Linked DNA regions of Drosophila melanogaster. The protein of the gene in region 1 interacts with the protein of each later gene in a pairwise test. Each region holds a gene or a part of one and is shown on either strand. Other genes may lie near its edges.

Region 1 (5,239 bases):
AGGACGAGGAGCAGGCCGAGTCAAAATCACAGAAAATCATCGACAACTGGCAAATGTGTGAATTGAATTTTCAAACAATTTCGCCCGTGCAGGGAGTGCAGTGCTCGTCATCGGATTGCTATCCTGGTTTCGGTTTCTGCTCCTGGCGCTTTTCCCCTGCGCGGCGCATTTCCCCGGCTTTCCCGCTGGCCACGATGGAAACGTGCATGATTTGAGATTTGATTTGGGCGGCGGCCACATTACAGTCGCTAAACCTCGGCTTCCGTCCCGTCGTCCTGGCATCCTGCGCTTCAAAAGGCGCGTTTTAAACATTTCGCTCACGTCTCGGATGTTTATGCCATTAGCGTTTAAGTTGCCCATACAAAGTGCGACTCGTAGGTAAGCAAACGTTCCTTTGTTTTGGCTTCCTTGCCTGTTTTTATTGTCGAGAGACAGAGGTAATCGATGCTCAGGCTAGTTATTGAAAAAATTATCGAGGAAAACCCGAGGTACAACTCAAATAAATTCAATGAAATTGTTACTAGCCAGCAAATAGCTGTTGCTGTTCATTTGGACAAGTACAATTTATTTATTATCACATAAAATGCTTGCTACAAACTTTGAAGCTTTGTGAAAGCCCAAAAATATGCTATATACAATCACGAACAAATTTATCTGCACTCTATGCAACACGCTGAGCAGCAGCAGTGGTAACATTCCATGTCTGGATACAGATCCTGTTCCTCAACCTGTTCCTGATCCTGTTCCTGCTCCTGGTCGTACATCCTCTTCCGCCTGGCTGACCGATACAGTCGCCGGATGAGAGCTCCATATGGTTTCCGCGCCATCAGGTGAGTGGTTGTCTTGTGTATTTCGTAGACGCAATTCGTTTCGAGACACACAAAAGGCTCCTCCACCTGCAGGATAGTTTCCGATCTGAGATTGGGTACTGGCATTGGTAGCAGACTCCTCTGTTTCAAGATATTGATCTTGCTCTTCTTGACCACCCTCCTTTTCTTGGCAGGATTGGGTGCTGTAATGGCACCTTGGATCTCCGCCTCGAAGGATTCCTGGCGCCTGGAGGCCTTGCTCTTCAAGGCCGAAACCGTTTTGTATCGGTTCTGGATATCGGTAATGTTTCTCAAGGTCTGCTTAAAAGCAACCTCGACTTGCTCGACTTCCTGCAGCGTATTCCACAGATTCTTTTCCATAATTTGTTCACGAGAAAATTTTATACAATAAAAAATTTGAATACAAGAATGCACACTCCTCCCACTTCAAAAGATCATACGAATATACAAATCCTGTTCGATTGAAAAATCAGGGAAGCTAGATGTGTGATTTTCTCGTTGCGTTGTCATAGGGAAATTCCGATATGACCACCAAGTACTCACCTTATCGCAAAACAGGCTGATAAAATGTTTTAATGGGAAAACCAATGCCTCCAGCAGTCTTTCGTCACTATATATAGCGTGGAAATCGGGGTAATACTTTAGTTCAGAACGGAAATCGCTTTGGAAACATGCCACCACCACCGCACCAGCCCCACCAACCGCACCCACCGAAGGGTCCTGCGCATCCTGGGGATCACCAACCAGGACCGCATCCCCCTCACCACGGAGATCCGAAGCCCCATCACGGACATCACTAGGCCCATGGACAAGGACTATAAATAAGATTCAATTTTATACAGAACAAAACAAGATGGATACTTTTTAGGGAACTTAGTTTCTAATAGAAAGTCTTAAAAACTCTTCAAACCAAAGAAATAAAAGCCTGTACAAAATACATAGCTCTACTCTTTTCTATATCTTCAATGTTTATGATCTTGAATTGGTGATACTGCTTAATGCATTCTAAGCTTCCATTAATTTGAACAAAGCATACATATGATTTGAAGATCTAAATGCTTTTTAAATTATAATACACGTCCTAAGTGCAACGTACTAAGCTTAAGAATTTGTTGCTGATTGTTGCTGATTGTTGCTTACAAAAATAAAATATTATAACATCTCCATATTGTTGTACTTATGAACTACATGCAAAGTCGTCATTAACTTATTCTTTAAGTCACATATAGACATATCAGTAAACAATTCGCTTGTTTGTTATTACTAATTTCGAATGTCATACATTTGTTTTTATTGAGCGAAGTGTTGTTGTGGGAAAACCCGAAACTTACTTATCAACCGAACTGGGCTCGTCTTATCTGAAATTTAGATAAGATTACAACGTATTCGAATCATTTTCCTATAAATGGTTTGACAGGATAGGCTTTAGCTTAGTACTCAACTAAAGTCAGAAAAGTCAAGATGCCACCTCCACCGCACCACGACCACCACCATCATCATGGGCCACCACACCATGGACCTCCCCACCATGGGCCACCGCACCATGGTCCTCCACACCACGGGCCACCGCATCACGGGCCACCACACCACGGACCGCCGCACCATGGACCTCCGCACCACGACCACCATCATCATGGACCACCACACCACGGTCCTCCAATGCATCCTCGATGAGAACTATAATACAATATAAGCCGAATTTAACGTTATAAACTGATATGGAAAAACTTAATCGTTAACTGTGATTAAGCCACAAACTAACATTAAAATATCTTCACTAACTTCTAGTTAGTTTCACCAAGAGCAAAATGTTTTTATTTTAGAAATTGTTTAATTTTATAACACCATTATAAAGATACTGATTCTAATAAGCAATTAGAAGAATATTGAAGCAAGAATTGATTAAGTATGATTAAGTATCAAAAAGCCAGCAGATAAGGTAGACAATTATATATAAAAGAAAGTCCCTCTCCACTAGAATGCAGATAAGATTACAGCCTACTGAAACTATGTTACTTTTGTATAAAAGGTCTGGCAGGAGTGAGCCAGTTTAGTGTACAACAGAAGCCCGCCAAGCAAAGATGCCTCCTCCACCACCGCACCACCACCACAACCCGCCGCCTCATGGGCCACCGCCCCACGGACCACCGCACCATGGACCTCCGCACCATGAACCACAGCCCCCGTTCCACACGCCAGTGCATCCGATTTACCACGAACCTCCTCACGGAAACAGCTCCGGCTACAATCCTCCGCCGCCGCATGGTCCGTATCCATATGGTCCAGGATACGTGGCCCCAGGACCTCCAATGCATCCGCGATAAGAACTGAACTGTAATCTAGATCGGTTAATATAGTGTGATATCAACAAATGTACATTTGTGTGTGATTAAAAAATATGCTGCTTTTAAATATATAAACTAACTTTAGTTAGTCACGCCTATGTGTGATTCAAGTTTTATTACTTGTAGCTTCTATGCCAACAAACAATCCCATTTCGAGTATGATGATATATGCGCCTAATAAGATAAGGACGGTTTTTTGGAATTCCCATAGGACCGTCATAAAGATAATCCATTGAAAAAGTCGTCATTCTTTAGGTGCGTTATGATAGCTTATTTTCGGGTACTATCAAATTCTTGAGGTAACACGTCATTACTAATATTTCACTAGGAAAACAATCAATCAATCAGTCAATCAATCACTGGATTCTTTATTAATACGTGGGCTTATCGTATTAGTCGAATGTCATGAATTCTTAACTGAGCATATCTTTGATTTATTGGCTCTTTTCCATTCCATTTGTTCAAGAATAATATTTTTGTTTTTATTTTGAACGCTGAACTATTAGTAATCATGCATATAAACCTGTTGTAAACCTTATCAATGAGTTACTTCAACTCAACGCTAGATAAAGCTGTGCAATCTTATCGATAGGAAATACGCATTTGCTTACATTAGTCAGAACCTAACTTAGATTGTTGAGGTGATTTTTGGGGTACGCCACTGTTGATTTTTAGGGAAAGTACAAAGGGATGATATAATATATAACTTTAAAGACTTATTTAGAATATAACAGTATTTTAACAGTGCTACTTAATAATGGGAGCACATAGACAAAATTTGTTTTTAAAAAGAATATATTACTCATCCGCCACGTTGGCTGATATGGTTATGACCTTCTGGCTGGATAACTAGTGTAATACATGCGATTTTCGCAATAGACCCACCCCGTTTGTGACCGCAATCACTCAGGCGTTTAATAATTGACTGCATCTGCGGTCGAATCCCAATCGAATCGGGGTGGGTGGGTTGTTTAATGGAACAGACCCGGGTAAAAATCAAGCAAACGGCAAATAAAATTTATAACAAATCTAACACACATACATCATTTTGATATGGCCACGGACACGTTCCGTCCGTCTATTTGCTTAAGGATGGATGCTTCTTCGGGTGGCAGCACATGGACATGGACGCGGTCCGGACTGCGGAGCATCCACAGCTGAAGCAAGAGCTGTAGTTGGAGCTAAAGCTGAAGCTAGTGCTGGAGCTGGAGCTGGAGCTGGGGGCAACTTCAGCCGGGGCAGACACATTAATTTTGCTGCTCGCTTTCCTAACCGCATGCAATTTTTCTTGGCTCGCTCTCCGTCGGCTATCGGCTTTCAATGGCAGGAAGCGCACCCCGGAGGAAAGTGGGCTGCGGATCCTGGATGGGATGTGCATAGCCCACATCCTTCAGCCAGTCAGTTAGTCAGTCAGCCAGATAAGTGCGGTTTATGTGCAGCACGTAGACTGACTCAATACACTCGATAAATTGCGGCGGCGTTCGGCTGCTTAGAAGCGGGCAACTTGACCGCCACCAAAAGGGGGGCACAGTGGAGGAGCGATTACTAGCTCCATCTGATTATATTTACGAATAAAAGTTGTTTCTAAAAAAGTTGAAAACTGGGAAGATAATAACTACATCTAAGTGTAATTGTATTTAAACTTAATTTTGATTTATATTAGGGATGTTAGTTAGTTAGCCCCACTTTCCGTCAAATGAGAAAGAGAAATGTGACTGCTCTCGAGTCCCGAGTATCAAATGGATGCTGTACAGTTTTTCTTCCAACGAAAACTGCAAGTACATTTGACCCCTAGCCAGCTGACTGTGACCCACCACCCCGAAGTTAAGTCAATTTCCGTTCGATGGGCGCACTTGATTAAATAATGTCCAGAGGCATTTGAAACCCGCATTCCGATTGGAAATACCGTCGAGCCTCTTCACAAGCAAACAAAATTCCATTGCAAATTTGCCCATATTAAAAGCTCATTAAAGATCAAATGCCCGAGGCCAAAACCCTTGGTTAGCTCACCATTCCGGGGAAAACTCATCCTGGCAACAGCATTCCACGGCGGGGAAAAGGAAA
Region 2 (5,622 bases), on another chromosome or scaffold:
TAATTAATTGAACTATAAATATATTTATCGCTGATGCGATTAAACGGTCAGCAGTTATTGTGCCGTAAATATGACAACCTTTTAAAATATACTGCCTTGCTATTTCACTGTCGCTTTCGATAGGTTTTTGTTTGGAAAATCAGAACTTTTGAAAACATTGATTGTAACCAACGAATAGGACAGTGATTATCATTTATGGTCTCCTCGGTGAGGCCATGCTATTCCATCGTTACCACCTGCAAGAAAAGTTTCCATGATTGAGTGAATTCTTAAAATTCTATTTGTTCATTTACCTAGTTTTCAGCTGAATTGTTCCAGGAATATTAAACAAAATACAGGTGTTCTTCACTCACCCATCAGATATTATTTATTCGAATTTCGAACTAGAACTTGTTTAAGATTATTGTTCTTTTTGGTAGCTAATCTTAAGCATTAGAGCAACGAAAACAATCTACGTTCTTATAAAAACGGGTAAAAAAACAATATATCTCAACTACGATCCTCGAGTTACAGCAAAGATACTGGCTTACAGCAGAAACTTGTCATTGTGCATAAACACGAACTCGCTAGAGAGCCGCGTATCTATATCTATGACAATCCAGGTTCCACAGTCCCCGAAAGAATCCAAACTAGTGCACTTCATTACAACACTTCCTTAACCAAATATCACATTGCATTCTGAGCTTTATTGGAAATACATGCCTACGTCTTGCACGCGGTGTAGGTCTGGACACTTGGAGTGCAGGCGCCCTGCTGGTCGTCGAAGAAGTAGTTGCCGCAGGACCTCTCGCTCACGGTTACCCCGTCGGAGCAGCTCAGATAGTTGCGACAGCCCTTGGTGGCACTAACGACAAAACTAGCAGTCCGACCGTCGCAACGATCGTGGGAGCAATAGACCGAACTGGGGGTTATGCACATCTGGCTGCTCGCATCGAAGAATCTGTCCTGGGGACACTGGTTCCACACCGGATTGGGGTCCGGGGTGCCATCCTTCTGCTTGGCGCAGTAGAAGTAGCCGCGACAGGTGGCTTCATCCGCGACGAACTTGTTCTCGTAGGGCTTACTGGCCTTGCCGCAGACATCCGTGGGCAACGGATGGGCATCGCAGTCCACCAGAGCCTTGGACACACACTCGCCCGTGCTGGCCTGATAATAGGTTTTCGAGCATGTCTTGTCCTTCAGGACGCCCTTCTCACAGACGTGATACATATTGCAGCCCTGCAGATTGTCGAAGTTTACGCCGTTCTTAACAATGCTGCAGTACTCGAAGGTGCTGGTGGTGCAATCCGATTCGTGTTGGCGGGAGCACATCTGGGTGGTGGCATTGAAGTGCGTCTCCTGCGGACAGGTGCCGTACAAGGCCGTCTCCTCGTCCGCACAGTAATAGTAGCCGTAGCAGGACTTGGGGTCGGCCACGAATTGCTTGGCCCGATCCGCGCAGGATATCGAGCAGCTGGACGTGGAAGTGGACAGTGACTTAACGCATTTGCCCGTGTCCTTGTCGAAAAACGGAGTAGATCCCGTGCATGTACTGTAGTAGCTGACGGAATCGATGCACGTGATCGATTGACTGCAGGATTCGGGATCTCGGATCACCGTATTATTGGAGAACAAGCGGCAGATGTCCTCATTCCGGCCATTAACCACATCTAGGCCTTGAAGCAGTAGCACCAGTGCCACGCCCAGTATGGCACCAAATTCTGCAATTTGAAAAAACAATAAAGTTAGATTTACACCACTGGCAGTTTGCAATCCACTCACTTTCCATTACAGCTCAACTTTGGACAAAGCATAAACTCGTACTGAATCTGAACGTCGACCTGCGATTACTTATAAATATCAGAGGATAAGCAGCAATCACTATTTGCTGGCAAGATAAGCGGATTGGTTTTTGAGGGGTATTCAACTGGGTAAGATGGGTTAAATAAAGATGAATAGAAGTCATTTGTTAAAAGCTCGAAGATTACAATCAAATGTATTGATTTTGCTTAGGGATTTGCTATATAATATTTTTGAAAAGGTAAATGATAGAGCACAAAAAATGGGAATGTTTGATAAAATTGTATTTATAAATTTAATGTTTTTAAGGAGCATTCATAAAATTTTACTTCAGAAAAAATTAATTATATTTTTCGTTGCTAAAGTACTGGGTGATTTCTAGTCGTAGTGAATGGTGATTTTATAAACAAGTTGGAGATTGCCAATTGGCTACCGGTAAATTAAATAGGAAGTAGATAAGTTATCATTTCGGCCAAAAAATAGTAATAAAATGAAGAGCAAGATCAGCTGGTTTAATTCATAAGGCTTAGTGGGTTAATAGAGAGCTTCCCTTCTTTATTATAAAAAAAAAAACATTTTTAGTACTCTACCAATTAAATATAAAAAGTAAATAAGCACGTAGCTTGAACTATTTTTTAAGAATTTAAATTACTTCGAAAATGCCTTGTGATTTGGAAAAAGTATCGAGTAAAGTGTTTAAATGTCATTGCATACTTATGGGCGAATTTCTAAACGGACAAAACTCGCTTTTAGGCGAAACAATAAAATAAGGCGGATAGATTTAAAATAGTTTAACGGAAAATAAAACTGACTAAAAAAATGGGGTTTTTGTTATTAAACATTAACATCAATTATTTTTATAGATTATATAGATAGATAATAAAATTTCAAAATACTTGCATATAATTGTACTATTTAATTATGCATACAAATAAATAAATATATATAACTCATAATTTCATAATTTCATAGTGCGATTTATTTATTTTGTATTTCAGTTCAAACGGTTCTTTTGGACAAGTTATTAATATAAACATTTGTAGTTCGGTAATTTTTCCCCAGAACCTGATAACCTTCAGAGGAAAGTCTAGTCAAGTCAAGTCAAGAGTCGCAGTGCGATTCAAATTGAGATATCTAACTAATGTCGTGTTGCTGAAATGAGTGCCGAGATACCAGGGAAACACCACTGAGTGATCAATAAGAGCCGTGACACTTTCCCGCCTCCTCGAGCTTCTTCGAAATTAAAAAACAATTATAGACAAAGAGGGTTCGCAATCAGCAGCTGATAATCCAAATTCCGGCGCGGCTGTCAACGTATAAAAATATATATAAACTATATATACATACTAAACTAAGTATGTATGGTGTCCGCTGGCCAAGAATCGATTTGAGCTTATAAGCCAGTCCATTTTGGCCGGGTCCGCTAGTTTCACTTTCGTCGTCCAACGCCTTCGAACCGCCTTCAAGCTAACCCAACAACTTCGGAGGGATGCAAGGTGCGTGGTTTACCCCAGACCTTAGAATCTTATCTAGCATTAATTTCGATACTAACGCCCTACTGGCGGCTGGCTTATCTGGCTGACAATTTTTTAATTACCCACCCAGTTCGCGCCGCGAATTGTCAACTATAAAAACGCAAAGGCTGCAATTGATTGAGTTAGTAACGAAATCGGAACGTTCGCTTCGGTCGTCTGTCTATCAAGTGAATTTGTCCCCGAAAAATATTAGCATTCCAAGATGGGAGGTACGTTGGCTCGAAGAACGGATACAGTTATCTCAGGTGCACAGTATTCAAGACGTCTTGCTTCGACTAAATTTTGAAAAGTGGTTTCAAACATGGTTTTAAGGCCCTGAAATTCTCCTGCAAAGGAGATGACTTTCAAAAATGGCTAAAATGACTTTCAAATTTCGATTTGTTACTCAAATTGAGTTTTTCTTTCGTCCTTAATTGATTTTTTATCCAAAAAAAGGGCTGCCGTGTTGGCTACAACAAAGGCTTAACCAATTTTAGAGACGCTAACACGAATTTTGGATTGAAAGCTATCAATTTTGTCGTTTCTAGCATAATTTCTTTGCATTATTAAGTACAAACAAAATAGAAAACTATTCGACGATTACACATGTCTATATTTTATTTAATAATTCATAGTTCGTATCCCCCTGTATCCCCCATTTAGCAATCAATATGAGGATCTGTGTCGTGGCCGCATGTCTCCTAATGGCATCGCAGGCCACCGGCTACACGATGGATGATCTGTGCCAACAGTGGTCGGGCTATGGATACATCGGCAATCCGAGCAACTGCCATGCCTGGGGATACTGCAAGAACCAGGAGGTTGTGGCCTGGGGCACCTGTCCCAACGGCTTGGTGTTCAACGCGCAGGCCGGCAGCTGTGATTACGCTAATACCACGGTGTGCTCCACCAGTGCCGTTGAGACATGCTCCAACGTCAAATCTCCCATGTATGTGGCCAATCCGTTGAACTGCACCGAATACGCCTACTGCGATGGCACAGGCCAAATCTCCTATGGCGATTGCGGCACCGGCGGCGTCTATTCGGCATCCTCCACAAAATGTATATGGGGACCCGCCTGCCCGCAGGACACCATCTGTCGGTTCATGTTGTCCAACATCTTTGTAGGCGATCCGAACCAGTGCGGCAACTACATCAACTGCGTCAACGGCTATGGCACTTCCGAAAAATGTTCCAGCACCGCCAATCCCTACTATAATAAAGCCACTGGCAACTGCCAGTCGACGAATCCGTGCACCGGCGAAGATTCAAACAGTGGAAACTCTGACCAGTTCACTGTTGGGCAAACAAATGCAACTGCTTGTGACGAAGAAGCTTTTAAAGCAGCAGATCCACTTACTGTAAATGGGGAATCTGTTGACTATAGGTACGTTTCTGATGGTGTCACCTGCTATGGGTACTACTACTGTGCAGCAGTAAACGCCACTGGCTATTGGAACCAATGTCCCACCGGTACCCAATTCAATGCTGGCAAGTGCGTTTCGCCAGCCTCCTTTGTCTGTACCCATAACCGATGTGGGAACGTTAACAATCCATTCATGGCAGATGAGGGTTGCAAGAACTACACAATCTGCTCCAGCGGAATAACCGGATCATGTCCCACCAATGCGCCGTACTACGACGAGGTGAACAATATCTGCACCACCAAAATTCCCGATTACGCCATTTGTAATTCGACGGCTAGTACATGAGCATCTCCTCCAGCCACGTCTGTTTGCCGAGATACCTTTTATGAAATATATAAATAAATACCAATGCTGAAGGCATTCAAAAGAAACTAATAAAAATGTTGACTTCGACCAAGCGAAATTTGTTTTAAATGTTGTTGTTTTTGAAATTGTTGATTAGTTGTTCGCCTTTTTGGTAGCAAATCTTTCAAAAAGAGGCTCACAGAAAATGTGCCTCAAAATATAAATATAATTTCTGCGGGATGGGTATTTGTAAATGTTATCTGCCAAGCTAAGTTAATTAAATAATTAATTAAAAAAATTCAATGGCCTCCATCTATTGTATTAGAAGAAGGTGGAACAGTAAAACCCCATTGCTTGGGAAATTTCTGGAGAAGTTACTTGATTGACGTCAGCATTGAGATATTGTTTTGAATTCAGTACTTCAAAGCCTAGTATTGTAGTAGGCTGCTCCTTCTACCCTCTTCCTTTACTCTTAGTCATACATACCTAATTATACATAGCCAATCTAGTCATAAGCTTATACACTCATACACCCATCCTTAACATACAAATATTATCGAGAAACTTATCGACTAATCGACTCGCCACTCTGCAGAGAGCGCGGCAGTCAGTCGCTG
Region 3 (8,993 bases), on another chromosome or scaffold:
TATTGAAATTTTACATTCTTGTAAATCCCGCGATCCCATTTCCATGAATTTAGGAAACACAATCGATTTTAAAAACTGGACGCGATGTACGCGACTAAAGTGACTGTTTAGTAATGAAATCAAGCGGTGGTCATGTGCCATATTTATAACGCTAACAATATAATGAAGGGGAATTCCATTATATTATTATATTTCAATTGCAGCCGATTTCAAGCTTGTAAAAGTTGTCATTACATTGACTTCTGTTAAGGTATATAACCAATAGATTAACGATGATAGTAGTACATTACCACTTATCTAATGGCTAGAATGGAGCTTACTCATCCCAAGGTGTTTGTTGATCTTTGGGAAGCGGACTAGAAAGCTTTAAGTGATCAAGGGGAAATTCATCGAAAGATCCCTAATCAATTATTGAAGTAAGCACAATGTGTTGTAATTTCTTGTTTAAGTACTTACATATGAATAATTATAAATATACAGTCTCAAAAAAAAAAAAACATGATTACAGTTTCTCAAACGAACTTTATTAAGAAAGAGGAGTAAGATTGTAGTAAGGAGTAAGGATTGTGATGAACAATTGTAACAGCACCTTAGCAAGCCGGCATGGCGCAAGAGCGTGATTTGACCAGGCGCTTGGAGCACGGCTGTCCACCATTCTGGGGCTCGGTGACAACGTAGCGCCGGCTTTCAGAGACTCCGACACCACAGCTAACGCTGCAGGGCGACCAGACGGACCAATCTGACAGGACGCAGGCCCTGGGCTGATCCACTCTTGAGGAATACGGCGACCTAAGCACATTGCACGTATTCAGGCAGTCGTTCTCCGTGAGGAAGTTGTTTCGGTTGCCACGGCATCCTCCGTAGGTAAAGGAGTAGCAATGCTGGTTCTGCGGATCGTAGGCATACCGCATATAGGTGCCACGACAGGGACCTGGGTCCGGTGCCTGTACACAGATGTCCTTGGCCTGCTCCGCGTTAATGTGGCAGTCAATGGGATTGACGCACTCCTTTTGCTGATGCAGCTCCATGCGTTGCGTACAGCTCTCCTTATCGGGTCCATTCTCCAACAGAAGCAGCCGAGTCCGAATGGTAACTCCCCGGCCGCAGGTCGAGGAGCACGGACTCCAGTCGCTCCACTGGCTGGTGGGACATTGCGGATCAGGAAGCTCCACCTGCTCGTATGTACAGTCCGGCCGCATGCACTTGTTCTTTTCCACTATGGTGATATGGGGACATCGCTTGCGTCCCAAATGATTGACAAAGGTGCGCGTGCGCATGGTAATGCCAATGCCACAGCTGGCCGAACACTCGGACCACACGCTCCAGGGAGAAGTTTTGCAGAGACCGGCTCCCTCGCCATTGCTGCCCACCAGGGACTGCGAGTTGGCCAGGTTCTCGCCCTCATCATCGTCACGATCCTTGGACTGGGCTGGGCCATCGGCACATTCGGGTATGGCAGCCACGCACATTTCCTTGGCCACCAGTTGGCGAGCGCATTTGTTCTGATCCGCCGCCGCGGGATACAGATATTGCCTGCTGCGCATGCGGATTCCCTTGCCGCAGCTCACGGAACACGGACTCCAGGCGGAGTAGTCGCCCACTCGACATTCGGCTGCAAAACGATTGATTAGATGGGCATGTTAGTTTCAAGTTGACCAAACCCACCTCTGGTGTCCTGCTCCTCAGCATCGTCGGACACCTCCAACTGAAGAGCCTGCAGGAACTCATCGTCGCAGTTCCGGGAGACAATCTTCTCACGTCTTAGGTATAGCTTGGCAAGTGGTGTCATCTCACGGCTCTTGGGATTATAAAAGGGAGCCCTAGGATCCTCAGGATACATTGTAGTGATGCGATACATCCTTTCCGGAGGTTGTGTCTCCGAGTTGGGTGACTACCAAGGAAGGTCCATTTAATATTTAGGTTACCATGAAATATCAGTTGAATATATATTACCATATAAGAGATGCCGCTATCAGTGCCCGCATCCCATGGAAACAAATCAAAGTCCATTGACTCCTTCCAGCTGCAATCCTCAGTGCAGAGATCCAGACCACTAATGCCCACCACCCAATCGGGAGAAGGACCAAACATGGACACCAGCGATACCTTAGGGTGCTTGCGATCCACCCGGAACTTGGATGAGGTGTTCTGGTTGACATTCGGGTACCACAACCCAGCGGCCTTAATCAGGGTGCGCAACTTGGGCCCGTTCGCGCGCAGCTCCGTTTCTAGAGCAGCCGGAGAACCCCACTCCGCCAGAGAGCGGAATCCGGCGGTGGCTATGTGGTTCTCGCCCCAGAAGGAGAAGTTGGACTCGTGCGAAGCACCAATCACGTCAGAGAAGTGTGTTAACCAGATGGCGAACGGATAATCCTTGGGATGGGTTTCGTTTGACCAGATTCCCTCGAAAACGAACTGAAATTGGAATGACAGTAAGGTGGAGCTCGGAAAAATACGCGGTCTTCTCTGACTTACGCTGTATTTGGCTTCATCGCAGGCGCAGCATTCCTTTTGAGCAGCAGCTGCATCAGGCTTTCGTTCGCAAATCACAGTGGATAGGTTGCCATCGTCGGCGAACCAGGCTCTCGGACCCTCGTAGACCATTGCTGACAAAGAGACACAGCCAGAACCCGACTCCGGAGCCACCCACATTACCTGGACTTCTGTTTTGGGCAGGTCGTCCGCCTCGGAAACCGTGTTCACGCATCTGTCGTTGAACTGGGTCAGGGAGTCACTAAACAGCTGGAAGCGGCCCACTCGCCGGGGACTAGCTGCCTGTGGACGACGGGCGCCAGTGTGTGCCTCCGCAGTAATGGTAAAGTGGGTGAAATGCTGAACTTTCAAGTGAGTCCGGGATCCAAGTAGAAGTACTACCAAATTTTTTTAAATTCAAAATTCGATTAAAAAAACTACGTATCGATTAAAGGGAATCGATGCCATCACTGGCACTAGCACTGTTATCGACAAATTTATGTACCTATAGTTGTCTCGCTCTTTCAGCCCTCTTTTTAAGACGACGCGCGATTGTAATTTGTTAATATTATTAAGTCTTTAGTCCTGTGATTTTTATAATGTCTAAGTTTCTGGACATGCTATCGGGGAGCCAGTGCGTCAGCCTGGAAAAGTGCGGCGATGTGGTGGTCTCAACCAACGACTGTATGATTGCACTTTACTGCCACTTCTGCCGTGACCTCTTCACACAACTGCCGGAGTTCTTAAGACACCTCCAAAGCAACCATTCGGATGTGCTGCACTTCACCAAGGAGCACAACGTTTACAGCGTGGAGGAGCTGTTGTCCGGTGAGCAGGGTAAAGCCCACGAGGACGCCCAGTCGGCGGGGCACAACAGCAGCAGCGGTGACTCTAGTTCACTGATGAATTCAGAGGATTCTAGGGCCATCGAAGGCTCAGAAGATAACTCAGACAATAGCCCAATGAAACGTAAGAATGTGATGGCATATCGTTATAAAGTATTATTATTAATATTATCATTATTATCCCACAGCTGAACAAATAGGGAAACAGAGTGAAATAAACCTGCTAGCGGAAGTGACAAACATTTTATTGCAAACCAACGACAAGGAATTAAAACCCGAAAATGGCGTATTCAACAGACCACGCAAAAAGGCTAATAACGAGAGCAGTTCTTTGAAGATATGCGATCTGAAGAGTCACACTATTGCAAGGACTTCGCGAAAGCGAATGAGCATGGTAAAGAACCGCATCCTGCGAGTCCTTGACAGCGATTTGTCTGCAAAGCTTGAAATTAAACCTCCAGAGCCCAACTCCAAACTTTCTATAACTGAGCCCATCCAAGAAGACAACATACCTGGAACATGTTTTGACACTCCTACAAAGCCCATACCGAGCTCATCTCAATTAAGTGTAAGAAAGTCTTCTTTAACAGAGGCAAACCAAATATGTACCAAATATGCCGAGAAGAAAACGGCGCCTACCATGCCTAAGCTACTGAACTGTGTACCAAAGCCCATATTAACTAGTCAACAAGCTCATACTAATGCCGAGATAAGTGAGATAAATGAAACCTATCACCTAGCAGCTAGTCAAGTGACAAAAACCACGAAAACATTTCCCGTAAAAATAACACAAATAGATATTTTACAACCAGTTAAGTTACCTAAAACTTTAATAACACCAATCAATGAAGAGGGTGTCAGTGACCAAGTGGAGAATAGCACGAATAATATAAACAATGCCCAAAGTCTGCCGAAAGAAAACACAAAAAAGTTTTTTAAAAAGCGTAGCGAATTAGGGATAAAAGCTCAAGGCAGTCCCAACAAATTTTTTAAAATAATAAAGTCCAAGGCAAACCCCATTATTGTAAAACGGGTGCAGACCACCAGTGCCAAAGCTAGTACAAACAAAATCCAAATACGATCTAATGACAAAACTAATTGTTTTGCTTCTGAGTTTAACAGCACAAAGATCCGCAAGTTAAAGATGGAAAATTGCGTCGACCTAAAATCGGAAGATCCCTGCGCCAATACAAATACGCGTTTAAACAAATTGGCAACAATAAGCAGTTGCGAAATATTAAAAGCGGTTGGAGTAAGCACTTGATACGAATCATTGCACATTTCACATCTCATATCTTAATCCATTTTAGTTGCCGGCAATCACAGATAACCCGATCGAGGATACATTATTGCCAGACGAGTTAGAAACGATCCGAAAAAAGGCAGATCAATTCATCAAAATCTACAGGAAGTACGATTCTATTTGGAATTATAGAAAAATTTGTCCGCCAGCGAAACCGGACTTTATTTCTCAACAGATATTTGCTTTAACCAGAGAAGTTAACAAGACAATGTTATGCAACCTGGCGAACAGCGATATAAAAGGCATTATTAATCAGATTTCAGTTTGGCATTACAATATATATACCCAATATATTGACTTGGATACCATTTCGGAAAATGCCCGATATACTTTAAAGCTATTCTCGTTTTTACCTGTTAGTTTTGCTTACTTTTGCAAATGTTGCGACGATATTTTCATCTTAAAGAAAGAGTACTTAAAGCATTTGATTTCTCACCAAGTTCGGTTTCAGTGCACAAAATGCATTAAAGTATTCAAGTACAAGGGATACTATGAAAAGCATTTGCGAAACGCTCATTCTTAAGCCACAATGTGTCATTTAGTCATGGTTACATATATTTTTTCTAACCCTACATAAAGTTATGTATTTATTAAATAAAAAGGAATTCCGAAAAGCTAATGCTAACCAATTTGTCAATAAATGTTATATTTTGATTTTAATAAATTTTTCTAATAAATCAAAACGTTTTATAAACTAAATGCTTTAAAGTTTCTTTATCACTACAAAAAGATTAGGTACAAATTAACACAGAAAGCGTTATCAAAATAGCAACTGGACTGACAAGATGGACAACATCACCATCTGCTCTGGATTCTCTTATCATTTCGATGGCTTTTGTTTTTAGTTCTCGAATGACCCCGATGATTACAAAACCAACTAGCTACCTTCCCGACTTACAATTATACGTCTTGCCGGGCACATAGCCGTTGGGTCCATCGGCCACAATTAATTTGTATCCATTGTCGCCGCGTGTGCGTCGACCGTGGTTCAAGTGGGTGGGCGCCCGGGGACATGCGGTGACCATACTAATTGTCAGCCAGATCACAACGATGAGGCGGATGAGCAGCGGCAGCGATTGCCCCATCTCCAGTGCTTTATTTCCCGCGTTATCACTTGACTCGATTACAAAGCTCAACTGCAGCAACGACCGTTTCCAGCGAGGCTCAAAAACAGACTAATCAAGCCGGAGAGGCGATAGAGCTATCTTCAAGTCGAGCGACCGACCCGATGCCGGATGCTTCGGGAACTCTGATTACAAGCATTACTCGCGAGATGGTCTTGACTTTCATCCATTGGCTCCTCCAATAATTCCTCTTTACTCTCGTGTCTTTTCTATTCCGTATATATTTCATGGTATAAATTTTGCCGTACAATTTACAAATAATATTACAATTATATATTTCCATATCATCGGTAACAGAGCTCACTATCGTAGTTTGTAGTTCATAAATTTGTAGGTTTGCTTTCCGCTCCCGAAATAGTGTGAATCGTGAGGATTCGCCTTAGGAAACTCAACATTGGTCGAGAACATAGCATATATACTGATAAATCAAACTGGGACTGATCACACAGACTGGTCACACATTCGATCGATAAATAGGGAATACATGTGAGAACTATAAAGCATATAAATCACAATTGCCAGATAAAGTTAATACTAAAAGGTCAGAATAGGCGTTTCCCGGTGATCCAAGAGATCTGAAAAAAAAAGTATTTTACATCAGAATGGCGAATATTTTTGAGGTAGGTCTTCAAGTAGCTCACCTTTTGCAATGCTCCACCAGGGCAGTGTCACATATGTGAGGAATGCATTTAGCGGCGTTGACTGCTGTCTTCTATTCTCCTTCCAGAAATGAAAAGATTGCGTAAAGCCTCGACTGGTCCATAGGGGATTATAAGCGCCATCGTCGAGCTCTAAAAGTAGATAAGAGGCTCACGGAATTAGTTTATGTTAGTCGGAATTATTGAAATGTAAGTACACGAAAATCGAAGTACAAAAAAATTAAATATAGTTGAAGTAAAAAGCCTAGGAAATAACCTTTTATTGCCTTTTTGGGCACATCGCACCAATAGTAGATGTTAGTGCCATCGGGTGTTCTGCGCTTGGGAACCAAATGCAGCATCTTGCTGACATGAGCTTGCTTGGCTGTTCTCGGAAGAGTAGCACTATTGGCCTCCCCGTTGCCATTGGCCACATCCAGCATGGGTGTAAGTTCCGTGGGCGATATCACGTTTGTAATATCGCTCTGCTCGTTCTCATTGTTCTCGTCCGGCTGCAGCAGATGACTCTCCGGCTCCACAGGCAAGCTGACACACTTTTCGAATCGTTTTGGCGGAGTCTTGGGCGAATCCACGACCGGCAGCTCTTCTCGTCCACGCACACTAATCATTAGCTTGCTGTCGCTCTCACTTAGGATAACCATCTTGGCGGCTCCAACTGGTTCCGATTCACTACCATTCAGGGAGGTAGCATCATCGGCGATCTCGTACTCCTCCGATTTGGAAATGTCAGGCTTTGGATTGTTATTATTAACAGCTTTTTTCTTAGCTGCATCCATTGCCTTGAACTTGTCCTTTTCCTTCTCCTTGTTTCCATCTTTGTCCTTGTCCTTCTCTTTGCCTGCTTTTAGCCGCTTGGGCGACATCTTGGCCAGAAAGTTGGTAGCTGAGCCGTTGACCTTCTGATTTGAAGACTTCTTGTCGTTCTCCTTGTTTTTGTCCTTTTCTTTCTCCTTGTCCTTCTCGAGATCCTTGGCTTTGGCCGTGCGCAGTCTTGGAGGTATGATCCTCTTGGTGGCCACTGGGAGGCTGGTCCTGCGATCAGCAGCACTCAGGGAGGCACTCCTCGTAATGCTGCCACCCTGTTGCTTGCGTTTGATCTCTGATGGCAGTCGGAAACTGCTTCTTTTGCCCACGAGCAGCTCACTCTCCACACTCAGGATGCTGCTTTTTGGCTTGAGACGGGTGGGCCGCTTGTCGGGCATCTTGGCCAGACAGGCGGGCGACTCGTTGGACGGATCCTCGCAACTGGGGCAGTACACCTCGGACATTTCCGGGGTGTCCGTGTTCTTGGCAGACGCCCAGCGCTTCTTACACTTTTTGCCACCAAAGCAATTGCAGCCCGTAGTTGAGCTATGTCCAGTAACGCTGACGTCCCCGGAAACTGTGACCTCCACGGCGGCACTCAATGGAGGCGGAGTAACAGCAGGAACAGCGACTTCCGCTGGAGCAGAGGAAGTACTCTCTCTAGGAGATTCTTGGGTCAACTTTTCTTGGTCACCAGTCGCGAGTTTATGTGTCTCGCAGTTCGGATTTGGGTGCAGTTTTGCCGCTGAGGCCGAGAAAGCAGGACGTTGCTGATCTACAAGTAGATAGATCGGTTTTTGCGTTTTAAAAGCATATACATCGACACACATGTACAACCGATGATCGGCCCAAGCAACTTAATCGATAATTGGCAACAGAAAGCAGTGGAAATAATAAACCAGAATAGGGAAACACAAATATAAACTAGGCGATCGATCGATAATAGGTGGATGAATGGATGTCTAATGAATATACAGTCAAGCCACCAAACAATTTCTAAAGGGAATTGGGAATAGGGACGGGACTACGGAATGTGGTGAACGATTCCCGTTTAAAGCGAAATCCAGTGTCAAACAATAAGCCAAACGAAATATAATTTTGGTTGTCCTTAGTGTATTATTTGTCCTGCTTTCTCGGCAATGTCTGGTGTTCTCTTTATATATATACTCTGGAGTCGTTCTTAGGGGCACACTTAAAGTATATATATAAATTCGATAGTTGGAAGTTTTAAAAGGAAAATCAATGGAACGACAACACATTACGAGAAGTAAATCAGGAATATGAACGGAAAATGAAAGGAGCAAGCGGAAAAGCAGCTTTAATTTAACTACGGCAACAACTGTAAGCAGTAATACAATTCTAAATATCATGCAACTTAAGGATGCTCAAATGAATAGGAAACAAGGATAAAGAAGTACATGTTCAGACTGACCGTCGCGCAAATCTCCAGCCTCGATTTCGGACACCTCGCTAGCCAGCGAGTCCAGTCCCTCGTTCTCCGATCGCGCCTTGGCTCCCACACTGGGGCTGGTGCCACTGCCCACCATATCCTGGTTATTCGAGTTCTTCGTGCGCCACCCGTACCGTGAGAAGTTATTGAGATTGGCACTAGGATCGCTAAGGCGTCTCTGATGTCGATAGGTGCAATAGTCGTCGTTCTCTTCCTCCCACTCGTCCCACATGTCAGTGGCGCAGAATCCCGGCTCGCTGGTGGGTGTCTCCACACCGGATCCTTTTGGCTTGGTCACCGCCATCTCGGCGTGTCCCTTTCCCTGAGGTCCCTTCA

Evidence for each region.
Region 2: the proteins of CG5011 (region 1) and CG6933 interact in a two-hybrid assay, tested with the Drosophila melanogaster proteins (one large-scale study listed by BioGRID).
Region 3: the proteins of CG5011 (region 1) and fat-spondin interact in a two-hybrid assay, tested with the Drosophila melanogaster proteins (one large-scale study listed by BioGRID).

The regions. Positions count from the first base shown.
Region 1 is NT_033779.5:1,197,949-1,203,187, forward strand, and holds CG5011 (uncharacterized protein), read left to right. Parts: upstream 1-2,722; 5' UTR 2,723-2,911; coding exon 2,912-3,154; 3' UTR 3,155-3,272; downstream 3,273-5,239. Other genes in the region: CG5139 (uncharacterized protein), read right to left, coding at 651-1,190; CG43348 (uncharacterized protein), read left to right, coding at 1,502-1,630; CG43349 (uncharacterized protein), read left to right, coding at 2,292-2,504.
Region 2 is NT_037436.4:20,217,998-20,223,619, reverse strand, and holds CG6933 (uncharacterized protein), read left to right. Parts: upstream 1-3,199; 5' UTR 3,200-3,268; coding exon of another isoform or gene 3,269-3,275; intron 3,276-3,384; 5' UTR 3,385-3,516; coding exon 3,517-3,559; intron 3,560-3,956; coding exon 3,957-5,005; 3' UTR 5,006-5,118; downstream 5,119-5,622. Other genes in the region: CG17145 (uncharacterized protein), read right to left, coding at 703-1,700, 1,762-1,768.
Region 3 is NT_033778.4:17,050,811-17,059,803, reverse strand, and holds fat-spondin (fat-spondin), read right to left. Parts: upstream 5,803-8,993; 5' UTR 5,706-5,802; coding exon 5,519-5,705; intron 5,259-5,518; exon of another isoform or gene 5,144-5,258; coding exon of another isoform or gene 4,628-5,143; intron 4,570-4,627; coding exon of another isoform or gene 3,506-4,569; intron 3,442-3,505; coding exon of another isoform or gene 3,072-3,441; exon of another isoform or gene 2,969-3,071; intron 2,871-2,968; coding exon 2,476-2,870; intron 2,416-2,475; coding exon 1,954-2,415; intron 1,892-1,953; coding exon 1,666-1,891; intron 1,613-1,665; coding exon 591-1,612; 3' UTR 505-590; downstream 1-504. Other genes in the region: tef (teflon), read left to right, coding at 3,072-3,441, 3,506-4,569, 4,628-5,143; CG9646 (uncharacterized protein), read right to left, coding at 6,279-6,319, 6,386-6,535, 6,660-7,982, 8,640-8,993.